Callithrix jacchus: one gene and its partners. The protein of the gene in region 2 interacts with the protein of the main gene of each other region in a pairwise test. Links are inferred from orthologs where the notes say so. Each region holds a gene or a part of one and is shown on either strand. Other genes may lie near its edges. The genes, in order: GPANK1, CCDC184, STX11, PBLD and PIN1.

The links.
Region 1: the proteins of CCDC184 (region 2) and GPANK1 interact in binary tests that used the Homo sapiens proteins (3 or more experiments, as listed by UniProt). The two-hybrid records come from large-scale screens. The link is inferred for Callithrix jacchus from reciprocal best matches to the Homo sapiens genes CCDC184 and GPANK1.
Region 3: the proteins of CCDC184 (region 2) and STX11 interact in binary tests that used the Homo sapiens proteins (3 or more experiments, as listed by UniProt). The two-hybrid records come from large-scale screens. The link is inferred for Callithrix jacchus from reciprocal best matches to the Homo sapiens genes CCDC184 and STX11.
Region 4: the proteins of CCDC184 (region 2) and PBLD interact in binary tests that used the Homo sapiens proteins (3 or more experiments, as listed by UniProt). The two-hybrid records come from large-scale screens. The link is inferred for Callithrix jacchus from reciprocal best matches to the Homo sapiens genes CCDC184 and PBLD.
Region 5: the proteins of CCDC184 (region 2) and PIN1 interact in binary tests that used the Homo sapiens proteins (3 or more experiments, as listed by UniProt). The two-hybrid records come from large-scale screens. The link is inferred for Callithrix jacchus from reciprocal best matches to the Homo sapiens genes CCDC184 and PIN1.

Annotation. Positions count from the first base shown.
Region 1 is NC_133505.1:39,167,668-39,171,933, forward strand, and holds the start of GPANK1 (G patch domain and ankyrin repeat-containing protein 1), read right to left. Parts: upstream 2,808-4,266; 5' UTR 2,577-2,807; exon of another isoform or gene 2,497-2,576; coding exon of another isoform or gene 2,478-2,496; exon of another isoform or gene 2,080-2,477; intron 1,991-2,079; 5' UTR 1,840-1,990; intron 1,466-1,839; 5' UTR 1,464-1,465; coding exon 835-1,463; intron 1-834. Other genes in the region: CSNK2B (casein kinase II subunit beta), read left to right, coding at 3,426-3,501, 3,823-3,905.
Region 2 is NC_133510.1:2,507,377-2,511,646, reverse strand, and holds CCDC184 (coiled-coil domain-containing protein 184), read right to left. Parts: upstream 2,759-4,270; 5' UTR 2,284-2,758; coding exon 1,699-2,283; 3' UTR 505-1,698; downstream 1-504.
Region 3 is NC_133505.1:150,934,613-150,937,388, reverse strand, and holds the end of STX11 (syntaxin-11), read right to left. Parts: coding exon 1,971-2,776; 3' UTR 513-1,970; downstream 1-512. UniProt on the Homo sapiens protein: SNARE that acts to regulate protein transport between late endosomes and the trans-Golgi network.
Region 4 is NC_133513.1:62,110,016-62,113,532, forward strand, and holds part of PBLD (phenazine biosynthesis-like domain-containing protein), read left to right. Parts: intron 1-3,392; coding exon 3,393-3,492; intron 3,493-3,517.
Region 5 is NC_133523.1:9,042,813-9,045,683, reverse strand, and holds the end of PIN1 (peptidyl-prolyl cis-trans isomerase NIMA-interacting 1), read right to left. Parts: intron 2,076-2,871; coding exon 1,965-2,075; coding exon of another isoform or gene 1,940-1,964; intron 1,107-1,939; coding exon 997-1,106; 3' UTR 510-996; downstream 1-509. UniProt on the Homo sapiens protein: Peptidyl-prolyl cis/trans isomerase (PPIase) that binds to and isomerizes specific phosphorylated Ser/Thr-Pro (pSer/Thr-Pro) motifs.

The DNA of each region.
Region 1 (4,266 bases), on a different chromosome or scaffold from region 2:
AGTGGCTAGTCACAGGTGCGATCCCACTACTGATCAGCACGGGAGTTTTGACCTGCTCCGTTTCTGACGTGGGCTGGTTCACCCTCCTTAGGCAACCTGGTGGTCCCCCACTCCCAGGAGGTCACCATATTGATGCCGAGTTTAGTGAGGACACCCAATCGGCATGGCACACTACAGCCTAGAACTCCTGGACTCAAGAGATCCTCCAGTCTTAGCCTCCCGAATAGCTGGGACTACAGGCAGGCGCCACCACACCCAGTATTTTACATGTATTAACCCACTGAATACTAACAACAATCCTTACTACCCCCATTTCTAAGATGGAAAACTAGGACATGTAGACATTAGGTTGTTTGCCCAAGTAAGTGGAATCAGGCTTTAAAGCCAAGGAGCTGCTGGGCATGGTAGCTCACGCCTATAATCCCAGCACTTTGGGAGGCCGAGGCAGATGGATCACCTAAGGTTGGGAGTTCAAGACCAACATGGAGAAACCCTGTCTCTACTAAAAGTAAAGAATTAGCTAGGTGTGGTGGAGCATGCCAGTAATACCAGCTACTCGGAGGCTGAGGCAGGAGAATCACTTGAACCCAGGAGGCAGAGGTTGTGGTGTGCCGAGATCACTGGGCAACAAGAGCGAAACTCTTGTCTCAAAAAAATAATAACATAAATCAATCCAGGGAGCTCACATTCATAACCACTTGACTACACCACCATGACAATTTACACATGACCATAAGGAAAGAACTCTTCAGCACTGTGCTGGGGCCTCTGGTGTGGAGTGGCTGAGAAAGGCAGAACACACTGAAACATGGGTCTGAACTAGCTTCCCCTCACCGGTTCTCTGTTCTCCTTGTCTCTCCATGGCTCTCTCTGACCATGCGAGCCACCTCAGGGAAACCAGCTTCTTCAGCGAGCTGAGCTGCATCCCTGCCCCCTAGTTCACAGACCCCCACCCAGGCAGCCCCACGGCCCAGGAGATAGCTCACAGCTGCCCCCTGGCCCGCTCGAGCAGCGCACATCAGTGGGGTCCACCAGAAGGCATCCCGAGCATTGATATTCCCCCCAGATCCTCCTGCTTCATGGGGCTCCAGCAGTCTCCTAAGTTCTGCTAGGTCCCCCTCCTGGGCTGCCCTCAGTATCTGCTGAGTCATCTTTTCCTCAGCCTCAAGGGATCTCCCTTGTCCATGTCTTCCTGATGGTCCTGCTGCCACTGCTTCTGCCGCAGCTGCCCTCATTATTCTTCTTTTCTTTCTCTTTCTTTCTCTGGCAGGTTCAGTCTGAGATCTCTGGGAGTCAGGAGCACTGCTCTCATCCCCAATCAGGGCCTCATAGAAAGCTCGGGCTGCAGCCCCATCCAGGGTGGACTCTGGCTCCTTGGGCTGTGGCTGCTGCTGCTGCCCATCCTTCCAGAGGTCGCTGGGGTCAGTGGCTGGGGTGAAGGTGATGAGGAAGGGCCGGGACATGGCTTTTGGGAGAAATGAGAAAATGAAACCAGGCAAGGGAAGGATGACACAAGCAAGCCAAGCTACTGGTGACCCCTGTAGCAACCAGAGTCTCCAGGGACATGCTGGGATGAGAAAAACTAGTCAAAAAACACCCTCCTGCCGCTAAAATGACGCCACAACTTAGGACCTTGCAGGGCCTAAGGGAAAGAGGTTTTCTGTAAAAACACAGAACCCTACAATAACCGACTCTGCTCCTTAGCAAAGGTTAATAAAACTCCATGAGACAGTTGTCCAGCGGTCCTGCGTCCCGCCCCCACTCCCACCCCCATCCTCACCAACAATAAATACCAGCCTCTTTCTGAAACCATTTTACCCCTCCGTAAAACACACATACCATTAAGAAAAAAATCAGCCTGTCCCTTTAAATCTTCCTCGATACCATTTTGGAGTTTTCTCCGAAACAGAAGTCACTCCCTAGGAAGATCTGGAGGACAGGCTCCAGTCTGCGATGCTGTGTAGCTTTCGTACGGCAAAATGGCACTATTCTAAACAGAAGAGTTGACACAATCAAACAGCCGCACGGCACGAAGACGCATGCGTGGCGACGACAACAACAACAAAAACCACAACCCACATTACTTGAGGGCTCAGGCGTGCGCAAAGCTCCCAGTTCAGTTTCCCGCGCTGGAACCTTTCCAATAGCAAACGCGCAAAGCTCTGCGCGCCCCGCTGGCGCGAGCACCAGGATCTGTCGGTTAGGGTTCTACTTTTACCTATACGCCCCCACAATGCCCTTCGCCTTCCTCAACGTGAACCGCCCCCCTCCCCGCCCCCTCGCTCCAAGTCCATTTTCTGGACCTGGGAATCCACTCTCCGTGTTAGGAAAGGCCCTCAGGAGGCGGAGGGAAACTTGTGGAATGCCGAGAAGCCGTGAAATGAAATAACGTCACGCCTGCCCCTCACCATTACTCTGACCAGGGTTCTAAGGTCACACTTAGAGCGTAAAAGGAGAAGTGCAAGGGGACGAGCGAAATGGCTGGCCCCACCTCAGGTTACCGCACTGGGCCGTTCTGGTTCTCACAACGCTCAGCTCAGCTCAGCCCAGCCCACCCAACCCAAGTCCCTACGCACGGAGCCAAACTGCACCTCTCGCCTCATGAGGCCAGAGCCGGGAGGGTAACAGGAGGCCAGTCAAGGGTGTCCGGCGGGACTGACTCTCACTAGGGGCTCAACAATCAATAAGGACCCAGCGGATTGGCCGGGGATGGGCCAGTCCCCTGGGCAGCAGCGCCCCGCTGCGCCGGAACTAGACGGGAACTGCGTGTCTCCCTCCTCTCCCCGCCCCATCTCGGCTTTTCTCCCAGTGAGCACACAACTATATTTCCCAGGCTCCCTGGCCCCAAACGTCATACCTGGCTTCCGCTTCCGGTGGCTTCTCGCTGTGCCCCGCCCGCAAGCGTCCTCCTCCGGGGCTTCGTGACAGCCAGGTCGTCCGCGGGTCTTCCTGGGATTGGTAGTTCGCTTTTCCTTCATTTCACCAGTTTCTCTTTCTACCTGGGACTCCGTGTCCCGGCATCCATCGCAGCACCTGACCCTTGGCGCTTGCGTGTTGCCCTCTTCCCCACCCTCCCCAATTTCCACTCCCCCCCACCCCACTTCTCTTGCCGCGGTCGGGTCCGCGGCCTGCGCTGTAGCGGTCGCCGCCGTTCTTTGGAACTAGCGACTTCCCTACCCCACCCCAGTCCTGGTCCCCGTCCAGGCGGTGAGTCTGAGGTCGTCGCTACTCAGAGTCTCTTGTTGGGAGCAGCACATGGGGTCTCCGTACTTTGATGTGGGGGCGGGGGAGGAAGCGACCAGGTCCGGCACAAAGGAGGGAGAGGTGGCCTGAGGAGCGGAGGCAAGATGTGTGGACTCCAGTGAAAGGGACTTGACGGTCGCTCCAGCCCATAAGAAGAGGAGGGGCCCGGCTCTTGCTAGAGAATGATAAACTTCGAAACGCTTGGGAAAGGCGCCGGGGTCATGCAGAGAGCTGCAGTGGTAGGGAGCCTGAGCCGAGGTCCGTGCTGGAGGTGACACAAAGTAGAGAGGGCCCTGGCCTTCGGGAGCTCCAGGGATGTGGGTCAGGCTGGTGGGTCAAAGTATCTGTTGGGTTCTCTCAAGTGGTGGGACCCCAAAGTGTGTTTAACCTCAAAGAAAAGGAGCTGAGACGTAAATTAGAGGAGCTGGAGAGGAGTGTTTCAGAGTTTGGGATCCTTTAAAAAAGGACGGCTCCAAATTCTAAAGTCTCCCGTGGTTGGAGGGCCGAATGTGGGAGGAGGGAGGATACCAGAGGCAAGGAGGGAGAACTTGAGCTTTACTGACATTCTTCGTTTTCCAGCTGACGTGAAGATGAGCAGCTCAGAGGAGGTGTCCTGGATTTCCTGGTTCTGTGGGCTCCGTGGCAATGAATTCTTCTGTGAAGTGAGTTCTCTTCAACCCCCCTCCTTGCCAGCTCCACATAGATTCCCACTAGACGTTTCTCCACATATTCCACTTCCTCATCGTTCTCTTATATGCTACTTGAAAACTTCCCATCAATGAAGAGTCCCCTCAGTAACCCCCGGCAAATCTGTGCTAAAGTGGCAAAATTGGGGCCTGTCCCAACTCTGCCATCCTCCAGCAATATAACGTTGGACTAGGCAATTTGTGACTTTCTCTTTTTTTCTTTTTGAGACCGAGTCTTGCTCTGTCACCCAGGCTGGAGTGTAGTGGTGTGATCTCACCTCAATGCAACCTCTGCCTTCCAGGTTCAAGTGATTCTCCTGCTCCAGCCTCCCAAGTA
Region 2 (4,270 bases):
GAGTAGACTAGAGCTGTCAGTCAAGCTCTCTGGGGAACTCCTTACCCGGGTTCTCCGCTAGAGGCCTGAGGCAGTTACTGTGGTTTCCCTTTGTGATGTGTCACTGTTTCCAGAGATCCCAGGCAATCCCTCCAGAACAATACCCCCACCCCACTCCTTCCACGGAGCAGGTGCAGTACCTGGCATTCCAGGACCCAGATTCGGAAATCATTCTCCCAGAGGCCAGATGCTTCACTGAAAAGATATCACCTGCCCATTTGGAGTTCTGGATACTAAAAACCCATGTTAGCATGGGAATCTCAACACTTACCACCTCCTTCCCCAGGGCAGCTTGAGGTCAAGGTCCAGGACAGAAAGGAAAGCAGGTAGGGTTGGCAATGCCTGTCCCAACCAGAGCAGACAGTCAACTCCTTCAATTGGAGGCAAAGAGAGAGGAGGGAAGGCATGGTCCCTGCAGTTCCCACTAAGCCCCACCCTGATATTCCCCTAGTACTAGTCAGCAAGAAGGGGAGATGACGCCTTTTTTATTAAGATTAATACCAAGGAAAGCATTGAGAAGGAATACACAAAGGAGGGGAGGGCACACAGTCACCACTTGAGGAGATGGGAGGGTCGCACATCAGTAAAGGAACCTCAGGACAGCCACATGCACCATGCCCTGGTTGGGGGAAGAGGGAGGGGAAAGCGCCATGATAGCTTGGAGCTCACAGAAGGGTCTGAAGCCCCCTGAACCTAACACCAGAGCCACAAGCCCTGCCCCTCAGGGCTCACACACTACTACACAAGTGGACACACAGAACACACACAAGACATTATGGAGGCAACACCGAGAGGCAGCGGGCGGGGACATATTGACAGAAAAAGGAACTGAAGTTAAGCAGATGTAGCCAGGAGAGACAGTTTATGGCTGCGGCCCCAAGAGTCCCTCAAACGTCCCCTAAATCTGGGCTGCTGCTGAGCACCCCTGAGTCTCTGCCTGTGAACCGGGCTCTTTGTTCTCTCTGCCCCAGTGAGTGGAAAAGCTACCCCAGATGAAGTCAGTGACAAGGCAGGATCCGCTCTGCATGCAGAATCCTAGAGGTTGAGCTATTATGTCTTCATGCACATTCACAGCCAGCTCCTCCCAGCCCAGGGGCCCTTGGAACCCCATTCACCAGGATTCCCAGGGCTGCGGTTCCCTCCTCAGGCTTCCTTTACCAATCAGCAGCCGCAGAGGTCCGTGAAGGGGAGAGGCTTCTGCAGAGCACTGAATATCTTGGATTTCGGCAGAAGGGTAAATTTCCTGTTGCCAGAACAGAATACCCCCAAGTCCTTAATTTCTAGGTAAATCGTTAGAGATTATTTGCCGTGGTCCTAGATAAGTCCTTTTTCAGAATAGAAAAAGCAGAAATTTATTTACACAATTCAGGGGTCGTCCTGTTGTCTGGGGAGGGGGAAAGGACAGGACAGGGGACGGATGGGAGTCCAGAGGTGGGCGCGTCCTCTCCCGGAACCTCACCTTTCCGCAGTTTGCTGTAATCTGCTTAGCTGGGCAGAAAGAATTATTCATGCTCCCCAAGTCCTTCGCCCTACAAATCCTTCCTCGAGGGAGCCTCTCTCTGCCTGACCCACAAGAGCAGCTGTCCAAGCGAAGCGTGCCGCACCGCGCCGTTCGGTCCCCAAGGCCAGCCCGGGAAGGTGGTGCCCCGCGGAGTCCCCTCACAGGGACGCCTCGCCCTCCAGTTGCAGCAGGGTAATGTCGGGCAGGTCGAGGGGCTCCACGAGTGGCCCGTCCCCCTCAAGGAGACCAGCACAGGGGCTCTCGGGGCGCTCACAGTGACTGGTGGGTGTGGCGGGACTGGGCATCTCCTTCTCTTCTTCGTCGTCCTCCTCGTCCTCGGGGTCGCCGCCCAGCAAGCCGCTGTCCCCGATCCCCGGCGACGGAGTGCCCGGCTCTCGGGGGTCGCTCCGGAAGCTCCCGCTGCCGCCGACCACGCCCAGGCCGCCCTGGCGGGGCGCCGTGGTCATGATCTGGCACATGGAGACGATGGCTCGCTGGTTGGCGCACACGTCGTCCGAGAGCACCTGGATGTGCGAGGCCTGCTCGTCCAGGGCGCCCCTCATGGCCCTCACGTCCTCAAACAGGGCCTGCAGCTGGGCTTTCAGGTGCTCCATCAGCTCCTTCATGCCGCCGTTGTACTCCCCGGAGATCACGTCCCCCACGGCCGGCACGGCGGACACCTCCAGGGGCGCTGGCATGTCGCCGCCGTCCTTGGTCCTGATCTCCAGCAGACCGTCCTCCATGGAGTGGCAGAAGCGGTGGCGGCGGCTCCGGGTCGCGTCCTGCCCGGCCTCGGGGTGGGGGTGGGGGGGGAGAGGTCCCGGGAGGGGCGGGGAGGAGCCGAGGGAAGCGGAGGCCCCCGAGACGGGCGGGGAGCCCACGTGAGAGCCGAGTCCCGGGCAGAGGGCGCGGGCGGGATCGCGGGAGGCCGAGGAGAGGCGGCGGGGCGAGGGGCCCGGAGAGGGTCCCGGAGCCGGCGTCTCTTGGGCTCGCCCCGGGACGAGAGCGCCCTGCCCCGCCCGGCCTCCCGGATCGCCGCCGTCAGCGCCGCCCTCTGGACGCCACGAGCAGAGCGCCCGCCGGCTCCGTGGGTCACAGACGCGCTCGCCGAGGGGCCCGGGGCGAGGCTGAGGCCAGCGGCGCGTCGGGCTCGGGACTCCCCCAGGCACCAACGGGCAGTGCCCGGAGTGTGGCGGCAGCAGCTGGGGCGGGTCACCCGGAGGCGCCGCGGATGCTCCTGGTTTCCAAGGCGACGCACGGCACGTACGTGACGTCTGTCTCCATGGTAACCAGGAAGTGGAGAGGAAAGGGAGCCGGCCGGAGGCTGCAGTGGGCTCTGGAGCCCGCACGAGGGGTGGGGGAGGCGGAGGGGGCGCTGCAGAGGCTTCGGCCCAGGCCGGGAGGAGCGGGCGCCTGCAGGGTTTAGTGGGAAGCGTGAGAGAGCCGTTCGCTGCAGACACCTCCGCGTCCCGGAGAGATCGGCCCTCCCCTAACGGAGGGCGAGGCCCAGCGCGACTGCCCTGAAGGATTTTTGCAGCCCTCAGTCCTTTCCCAGAGGACGGCGCTAAAGTAGGGTCCTGCCTCCCTGTCCTGCAGCGGTGCTCAGGAGGGCGGAGGGGCAGCGAGGCTGATGCCGGCCGTCCCAGAGTTGGGCTGGGCGTGCTGGCGCTCCGGAGCCGGCCCCACCAGGCCTGGCGGTGCAGAGGCAGGAGGAGGGCACTACGGAGCTTTCCGCAGTAAATCAGCCCTGTCTCTACAGAAAGCCTGTCTCTACCGGAGCCGGGGAAGGACGGGACTCCCTTCTTTGTGGGACCCTGCTGCCCCCACCCAAGTCCCCGGGAGTCTGCCCGGATGGGGAGGCCAAGTCCTTAAGTTTGGAGAATGAAAGCTCCGTAAGGGCGAGATTTTCGTCCCCGCTGCTCCCTCCATCACGGAATCCCCAGCTCCTAAAATAGTGCCTGGCACCTAGTATATAGATGCTTAATATAGTGATTGAATGAAAACTTTACCAAAAACCACCAAGTCCCCTGCTGTCATCCAGAACTCTCCAAGCCAATCGTAGTGGGTTTTAGGAGACCCGAATTCAGTTTCGTTTCCGCCACTTATTCATTCAGAGACCTTAGCCACATCATTCGCCTCATCTGTTAGGGAATTGGACTGGATAATCTGCAATCTCATTTCTAATTCTGAATAACACTCTGCAGCATCTCACAGGTGAGAAGGTAAACAGACCGCTGGCCGTTGTGTGGAGGGGATGAATGGAGGGACTGCGTGTTAGAGTAATTCCCGCTCTCTCTTTCAGTGCCCAAGTTCAGACCTACACTGAGTGTCCCCAACCTTTGTGACAACCCCTTTCCCTATTTAAGGGGTGGAGCAGGAAGGGCGGAGGAAGAAGAAAAATGGTCTTTAATATATGTAGATGATACCAGATTGAGAAGGAATGGGCACCTGGGCGGAGCACACCAGTTAATAATGATCCTAGGAAATTAGGGAAGACAAGTGATCAGAAACCAGAAATGAAATTCGCAAGAATGAATCTGGGGAAGAGAAACAAACTGTATCACTTCAAGATAGAGAAGAACTAGGTAGAGGTGAGTGTTTTGTAAATTGGCGATTCGGCAACAGCAAATGTGTTACCTTGGGTTTTCCCTGGTTATGTGCTTGGTGATGAAGATGAAGCTGGCCCAGGGAAACTTTAATGACACTAGAGGACTGTTTGGCCTATACCAA
Region 3 (2,776 bases), on a different chromosome or scaffold from region 2:
CACCCTCTTGGTAATTCTTTGAGTTTTTCATTCTTTTCTCTCTCCACTCAGTTCTGTCCAGGTGTGGCAGTCTCAAGTAGATAGTAGAAAAAAATTCTGGCCAGGAGCAGTGGCTCAGGCCTGCAATCTCAGCATTTTGGGAGGCCAAGGTAGGCGGATTGCTTGAGCTCACAAGTTTGAGATCAGCCTGGGCAACATGCCAAACCCTGTGTCTACAGAAAATACAAAAATTAGCTGGGCATGACGGCACATAACTGTAGTCTTAATTATTTGCCGGCTGAGGTAGGAGGATCACGTGAACCTGAGAGCTTAAGGCTGCAGCAAGCCATGATTATGCCACTGCACTTCAGCCTGGGTGACAGGGGGAGACCCTGTTTCAAAAGGTAAAAAAAGAAAAGAAAAAAAAAAATTGGCCCCTGCCCAGCCTCCACCCCCAGAAAAAAGAAAAAAGAAAAAAAAATTTAACAGTAATTAAGAAAGTAAACTAAATGGTCGACACAAATGTATAAAAATATATTCATAATGTAATGTTTATTAGTCTTGCTTAGAAAACAAAATTCTTTTACTTTAAATTACTTCATTTCAATGCATGAAAAGAATGGTCCACAGTGGAACAAAAGCAGTATTTCCAATAATGTTAGTTGTCTCTAGCTCTGTATACATTTTCAGCTTTCAACACCTGTCTACCACCATAACCAACGCAGAGTTGTTTAATATGAAGTTTTGACTTAAAAGGGGAAAACTGGAGAGAAACAGACTCAAAACAAGCAAATCAATACCAAGAGCCAGAAGGTGTTCTTCTTGAAATTTATATACCATACTTACAAAAAAGAAGCTAAACCAATTGATCATTATATACACACATTTGTGAATATTAGTACCTTACATTTACATATATATGTGCATATGTAATCAAGTAAAAAGATAAATGTTAAATAATTTTTATCAGTGAAAAATACATAAAACACGACTGGTACTTCATTTTGAGTGCTTGTTCGATATTCAGTGCTTAAAAACATTTGGAAAAATAATCCCAAAATATAACCTGGTGAAAGATATTTAAAAAGTGAAAGAGATAAGGAAATACTAAGTGTTTGGTGTGATTTTAATAAGTAGGGGAAATGAGCAGAAATAAGGTCTACCCTTGGGGAGGAATTGTATAGCATAGACCGGATGAAGAATCGGAAAGGAAGAACATGGTTTTTCCCAAGGTCAATTTTGCTCAAAATGGAACAGAACCAGGGAATTTTCTTTCTTTCTTTCTTTCTTTTTTTTTTTTTTTTCTTTTGAGACGGAGTTTCGCTCTTGTTACCCAGGCTGGAGTGCAATGGTACGATCTCGGCTCACCGCAACCTCCGCCTCCTGGGTTCAGGCAATTCTCCTGCCTCAGCCTCCTAAGTAGCTGGGATTACAGGCACGCACTACTGTGCCCAGCTAATTTTTTTGTATTTTTAGTAGAGACGGGGTTTCACCATGTTGACCAGGATGGTCTCGATCTGTTGACCTCGTGATCCACCCGCCTCAGCCTCCCAAAGTGCTGGGATTACAGGCGTGAGCCAGAACCAGGGAATTTTCTATACAACGTAAAAACTGAAGTTTCCATCATGAGGCCATTCTATTTTCAGACGCACAACTGACTTCCTCCTTGAGTCTTTATTAGGAGGCAGGCCTCAGACATTCACCCTACAGTCAGATACAACGTCAGTCCTTTTCTTGGCTTCCGTCAAGAGGGTAAGAGTGCAAGGGTATCATATAATGACATTGCACAACTTTGTAGGAATCCGTCTTTACTGAAGAACCATCGGACAGTGTGCTAACTATCCTTTCAAGCATGGGCTGGCTTGCAATTCTTGGACCCTGCGATTCTTCTTTAAAGACTGAGTTCCGTTAAGAGTTGGGGCAACTCTTGGTGCGTCCTTCCCAGCGCTCTCTAGGGTCTAGGATGGGTGGCGGCGGCCCGGGCCGGCCTGCTACTTGAGGCAGGGACAGCAGAAACAGCAGATGGTCCGGCAGGGGTTCTTCTTCTTGTACTGCACGGCCTTGCGCACCTGCGCCTTGGCCTGGCCGGTGTAGTCCACCGTCTTCTGCACGTTGAGCTCGATGACGTTCAGGGTGTCGGCCTGCTTCTCCACCAGCACCGCCATCTGCAAGAAGAGCTCGTGCACGTCACGGATGCGGCTCTCCAGGCGCAGCAGCTCACGGTGGCGGCTCTCGATCTCGTTGAGGGCGGCCCGCGCGCCCTTCACATCGGCCAGCAGGTTCTCGGAGAACACGTCCCATTTGCCCTGCTCGAACATGTCCTCGATCTCGTCGCCCGAGACGTCCTTGCCCATGATCTCCAGCTGGCGCTGGATGCGGATCTTGCAGTTGTCGCGCTGCTTCATCTCGGCCTGGTTGTAGTCGTGCATGGCACGCTGGAAGGTGAGGGTGAGCGCGTTGTACTGTGCCCGCGAGATACGCGCCGCCGCCGAGTGCTGGCCGTGCTGGGCCTCGGCCGCCTCGCTCAGCTCCTTCATGGCGCGCAGCTTGCGGTGGATGACCTCGCCCCGGGCCTTGATGGCCTTGGCGATGGAGTTGGTGTCGCGCTTGATGCTGCTGAGGCGCCGCATGGACGTGAGGAATCGGGCGTTCTGCTTTCCCAGCCGCTTCACGTCGGCCACCAGCAGCTGGTTTTCATACTGGATGTCCTGGATGTCTCGGTACAGGGACTCCAGGATGTGGTCCGTCTCGAACACAATGTTCTCGTGGGGCGAGTCAAACTCATCGTCCCCGTCTG
Region 4 (3,517 bases), on a different chromosome or scaffold from region 2:
CTCTCTTAGAAACCTTGCAGGGGTTCATTTTCTCTGCTAGACATTAATTTTCCCTGTCTGTACCATGTTAAAGGGTTAATAATCGTTTGTCTTTGTGATGGGCAGGCAGTAGTGAGGCTGGTTAAAGCATGACTTTGAGCCACTCAAATAAAAAGCTAACATGTATTAAGTACTTACTATGTGTTGGGCACTGGGTTATTTCTTTCTCTCACTCAACTCTCCTCTCTGAAGTCTCTCTCTGGGTGGGCTGGGGCACAATGGCTCATGCCTGTCATTCTAGCACTTTGGGAGGCTGATATGGGTGCATTCATTGCCTGAGCTCAGGAGTTCAAGACCAGCTTGGGCAACTTGGTGAAACTCCATCTCTACTAAAATACAAAAAGTTAGCCAGGCTTGCTTGTGCGTTCTTTAGTCCCAGGTACTCAGGGAGGCCAAGGTGGGAGAATGGCTTAGAACCTGGGAGGCGGAGGTTGCAGTGAGCTGAGATCATGCCACTGCACTCTAGCCTGGGTGACAGAGTAAGCCTCCGTCTCAAAACACACAAGTGCGTGTGCCCACACACACACACACACACACACACCCCAAACCTGCCTTTTTTTTTTTTTTTTTTTTTTTTTGAGACAGAGTCTCGCTCTTTCACCCATGCTGAAGTGCAGTGGTACCATCTCAGCTCACTGCAACCTCTGCTTCCCGGGTTCAAGCCGTTCTACTGTCTCAGCCTCCTGAGAATCTGGGATTACAGGTGCGCACCACCATACCTGGCAAATTTTTGTATTTTTAGTAGAGACAGGGTTTCGCCATGTTGGCCAGGCTAGTCTCCAACTCCTGACCTCAAGTAACCCACCCACCTCGGGCTCCCAAAGTGCTGGGATTACAGGCGTGAGCCATCGTGCCCAGCCCCTGCCAGGATTTTTATGTCAGCTAATAGTTTTAAAAATCATGACTGATTTTTCACAGTAGTCACTGTTTTATGCCCTGTACAATTATATAGAACATGTTTCAAAAGATTTTGAATCAAAGAGTATTTAATTTGCATAACTCGGAGAAGTGAATTATGAATTTACTAATATAAAATTATTATTCTTCTGGGTTTCAGGAGATCAAGAGCAGTAAATTTGGCCAAAACAAAGATGCATTTGCTTTGAAAATTCTTTAAAATTCAAAATCAAACTAGTAAGCATTTTATTGATTAAAAATGGATTTTCCTTCTCAATAGGAAAACATATTTCAGGTCCACTTTTTTCCTTGAGTTAAGAGGAATGTGTGTGTGTGTGTGTGTGTGTGCATGCGTGCGTGTGCGTGTGTGTTTGTATGCATGTATATATCTTCACAATAAACTTTGACTTAAGTGCTATTATTCCCATCTTAAAGGTTTGGAAACTGAGGCCATAAGAGTAAATGGCTTGCCCACTTTTACACTGCTACTAGGGACTCACCCAGGATAGAAATTCAATTCTGTTGCCGGTGCAGTGGCTCGCACCTATAATCCCAGCACTTTGGGAGGCTTAGGCAGTCTGATTGCCTGAGCTCAGGAGTTTGAGACCAGCCTGGGCAACACGGTGAAAGCCTCTCTCTACTAAAATAATACAAAAAATAAGTTGGGCATGGTGGCGTGCACCTGTAGTCCCAGTTACTTGGGAGGTTGAGGCAAGAGTATTGTTTGAACCTGGGAGGCAGAGATTGCAGTGAGCCGAGATCACGCCACTGCTCTCCAGCCTGGGAGACAGAGCAAGACTCTGTCTCAAAAAAACAAAAACAAAGAAAACCAAATTCAATTCTGTTTTCAAACCCACATAAGTTTTTAACATTTTATTTTGAAAAATTAACCTACAGAAAAGTTTCAAGAATGATACAATGAACATGCATATTCCCTTCCTCTATATTCACCAGTTGTTACTATTTAAAAAAATTTTTTTTCTAGACTCAAGGTCTTGTTATGTTGCCCAGGCTGGTCTCCAACTCCTGGGCATAAGCGATCCACTAGCCTCAGCCTCCCAAAATGCTGGGATTATAGGCATGAGCCACTGTGCCTGGCCAGTTGTTACTATTGTCCACATTTGTAAAACCCTCATCCTTTTTCTTTTCTTTTTTGTTTTTGAGACAGAGTCTTGCTCTGTCACCCAGTCTGGAGTGCAGTGGCACAATCATGGCTCACTGCAGCCTTGATCTCTGGGCTCAAGCGATCCTCCCGCCTCAGCCTCCTGTGTAGCTGGGACCATAGGCAAGCACCACCATGGCTGGCTAAACTTTTTATTTTTATTTTTAATAGAGACTGGTGGGTGGGAGTGTCTCTCTATGTTGCCCAGTGGTCTTGAACTCCTGGTCTCAAGCAATCCTCCTACTTTGGCCTCCCAAAGTGTTAGGATTACAGGCATAAGACACCATGCCCCGCTAAAGCCCTCATTCTTTTTCTTTATTTTAAGTATTTTATTTAAAGAGACAGGGTCTCACTGACTGTCTTGTTACTCAGGCTGGCCTTGAACTCCTATACACAAGCTACCCTCCTGCCTCAGCCTCCCAAAGTGCTGGGATTACAGGCATGAGCCACCATGCTTAGCTAAACTCTCATGCTTAATCACTGTACTGTTTATTAGGTATATGGTGGTCTTGGGATATTATATGATCCATCTGTTTAATTTCTTCATTTGTAAGGGCATAAAAAATTACATTGAGGGTTTTTAAAATGGGATTAAGTGAAATAATATACTTATTTTTTCTACAAATGTTTATTAATCTCCTACTGTGCTGGGATGAATACCAGACGTTGTTCCAGGTCCGGACAAAGCAAGACAGCACAGTCCATACCCAAACAGAACTTAGAATCAGAGGTGGGGAGGCCAGACAGTGAAGGGCACACAAGGCAATTTCAGGATATCTAAGCACTGGAGAGGAGACAACACCTTTAGATACAGTGGTCTGGGAAGGCTTACTGGAGGAGGTGACCCCTGGCCAGAAGCCCTTCCCACAGAAGGGAATAAATGCAAAGACAGGGGAAGAACGGTCCAGCCTGCCCAGAGTGAGTGCTGAGCATCTCTTTCACCAACATAGCAAGAGACTGGGGTACTGCCTTTTGTGGAGATTGTTTTTAGAAGAGAGCACACTTTGTCAGCTAGACTAGATCTTAATTTGACAAAAGATAGGCTAGGCCAGCCAGTTTTTCACAATCTATTCCAGATTGCACATTTATAACTCTTCTTCACAGGGTATGGCAAGCATGGATTTCTGAGAATCAGTCTTTATAAAAGGTGCCTTGAATTCCTTGGTAATGATTTCCTTTTAAGCATGTTACTTTTATTATTAACAAACTGCTTTTTAAATTAACGGTAGTTGCTGTCCAAAGGAAGTCTGATCTGTGTTTCTGAAATCTCAATAATCTTTTGTTTCTAATTAAGGAATTGGATGAAGACATGCATCAGAAAATTGCAAGGGAAATGAACCTCTCTGAAACTGCTTTTATCCGAAAAATGCACCCGACAGACAACTTTACACAAAGTAAATATGCATTTTTTTTTAACTG
Region 5 (2,871 bases), on a different chromosome or scaffold from region 2:
GGGGGGTAGGGTATGCAGGCATAACCACTTCTCCATCCAACAGACCCACAGCTGACTGAACAGGGATGGGGATCAGGCAGGCCACACCCACAGCCCCAACACTGGTGGGGGACCCCATCTCCTCACCACCCACCCCAGGATCCCCTGTCCCACTTCAGGCACTGGAAGCTGTGTCTGCTCCCATCCCCCTCCCTGCAGGAGCCCCCTCCAGTCCCGGAGGGCCCTGTTGTCATGGTAACCACAGCTGCAGTGGGTGCTGGGCTGGACCCATGAACCTTCCAGAAGCACCTGAGATGCCAGGGAAGCAGGTATCAGGGTGCTGGGTGGCTGAACAGTGCCCACGTCCCTGAGAGCCAGCTGCTGGGACTCCCCCTGGCCCAGGGCAAGGGGGAGCCTCTTGAGGGTAAACGCATAGCTGGGACCCTTAGGATGGGGGATTGTGATCCCCTCCCAGTGACATGGTGCCCCCTATGCTTCCCTAAAGAGAAATGAGACATAAGAGAGCGGAGTAGTGGTTCTAGGTGTTTAATTGGGGTAAAAGGGTACTGCACGGTTGCTCAGAGGGCCCACTGCTGGGCCGCACGAGTGTTTGCTTTTGCAACTGAACAGAGGAGCGTGGCCTAACTAGAAACAACTCGGCCCTCGAGTCTGCCTCCAGGACCTGGGGAAGACACGGGGCGGCTCTGCTGACCAGGCCTTCTCTTTGGAACACCCCTCCCACCACACTGCCCTGGTTCTGGGCACCTTCCACCCCTGCTGAAGTCAATTCCTTAAGGGAGAGCCTGGCAGTCGCAGCCCCAACTGGGAATGGACGGGGAGTGGGGACTCTAGGGCCCCCAATCTGGAAGGGCCCCCTCCCAGCCATTTTGGGAACAATAAATACTGTTTGACGGTGGCAGGGAGTAGGGGGTTTGACCACTGGCCGGCAGGCAGTGGGGGAGCTGGCGGGCCCAGCCGCCCTGCCCCACCCAGAGGCCAGGCCTGGGCTCCCCACCCTCACTCTGTGCGGAGAATGATGTGGATGCCAGAATCCGTGAACACGGGCCCGCTCATCTCTCCCGTCCGCAGCGCAAATGAGGCATCTTCAAATGGCTTCTGCATCTGACCTGGGAGCCGGGAGGGATGGTGGGGTGTCAAGGCAGGGTTGTCAGAGGCCAGGATAAGGCAGGGCGGGTGGCAGCCACAATAGATGGGGCTCCTGACTGCGCTGAGCCTCACACTCGTCCACACTCATCCGTCACCATGTTTATTGCCGGTGCTGAGTGGTGGCCCAGCTGGGGGCGGCAGGGCCATTAAAGAGGCCCCAGGAAGCCCGAGGACAGCATGAAGGATGGCAGGCAGGGCTGCAGCCGCTGCTGCGCGTTTAGGGGTCGCTTCGGTAGTGAACTCATCTCCCTGGGCCTGGTTCCCAGCCCTGCCAGGTCATCTGTCCCACCAGCCTCCTCGGAGCAGGGGGGAAGCTGCTGGCCCCATTATGGACCCCCAACCCCCTCAGATGCATGCACCCCACACCCCAGCCTGGCCTCTCCCTGTTTGCAGACCCTGAGAAGGAAAAGGAGGATGCTTGGTCCTCTCTGCCCCTGATTTCCACTGTCCTGGCCAGACAGGCCTAAACTCAGGGCCACCTCCCCCCACCCAGAGGGATTCTGGGGAACATTCCCTGGGATTCTCAGGGAACCCAGCCTTAAACCCCCAAAGGAAGAGGCAGAGGACAGGACGCACCTGCCTTGGTGGGCCCGGGATAGAGACGATGCCAGGAAGAAAGCTCTGCAGCCCCCACCCTGTGTGGCCCCCGCCCTGCCCAGCAGAGCAGACTCTGAAGCCTGAGGAAGGGGCTGTGCTGCCACCTGCTGGACCCTGAAGGGCCATGTGGCACCCCGGATCCCAGTGCCCAGACCCTCCCAGCCTCTACCCCTTAGGGAGGAGAGGGTCCCCAGACCTGGTGAAGCCCATTCCTTGCGCACCTCTGCTGAAGGCGCCCAGGTCTCCCCTGGCCTTGGCTGAGCTGCAGTCGCTGAATTGTGAGGCCAGAGACTCAAAGTCCTCCTCTCCTGACTTGATCTTCTGGATGTAGCCTGCAGACATGGAATGGAATGGGAGTGCCAGGTCAGGGGCAGGGGCACCTGACCAAACGGGATGGAGGGCTCCAGAGCTGGGTGGGAGGGGGGCAGCACTTCACTTGGAAAACCTCCCCCTACAAGTGCACATGCGCCCCACAACCCTTCTCCTCACACACACTTGCACCCAGTCACACCTGTCCTCACCCAAGAAGATGCACCTTCATGTGCATCAGCACTTGGTGCACCCCACCAGTCATCCATGAGTCCTGCCACCCTGTGAGTCTCACACCCCTGCTCCCGCTGTCACTCTCACCATGTGCACGCACGCACGCGCGCGTGCACACACACGCGCGCGTGCACACACACACACACACACACACACACTTGAGGGAAAATCTATATCCAAGCTGGACAGGCCAGAGTGGGAGGCAGGGAGAGGCTGACCCAGGCAGGGGGCTGGGCCCCCGGGGTCCTCTGGGCAGAGGTAGGAGAGCTGTCCAGGGAGGGCCCAACACTGCCACAGCAGCCCTCCCATGCTGTTCCATCTGGGAAGAACAGCCTGGCACTGGGAAAGGCCTCCGAGGCACCCTGGTGGGCTTTGCAAGGGACACTCGAAGACTGTGGGTCCCAGGGTCCCAGAGGCAGGCGACAAAGCTCTTCTCCCAGCTTCCTACCTACAGTCTGCATGCTGGCAGAACTCAGGATGGCCCCTCCCTGTGTGGCCCAAACCAGCCCATCAGGTCTGAATCTCCAGGAGGAAGGGAAGGCCAGGGCTGGTGGAGGAAGGAGGAACAGGGCTGCCAGCAGAGGG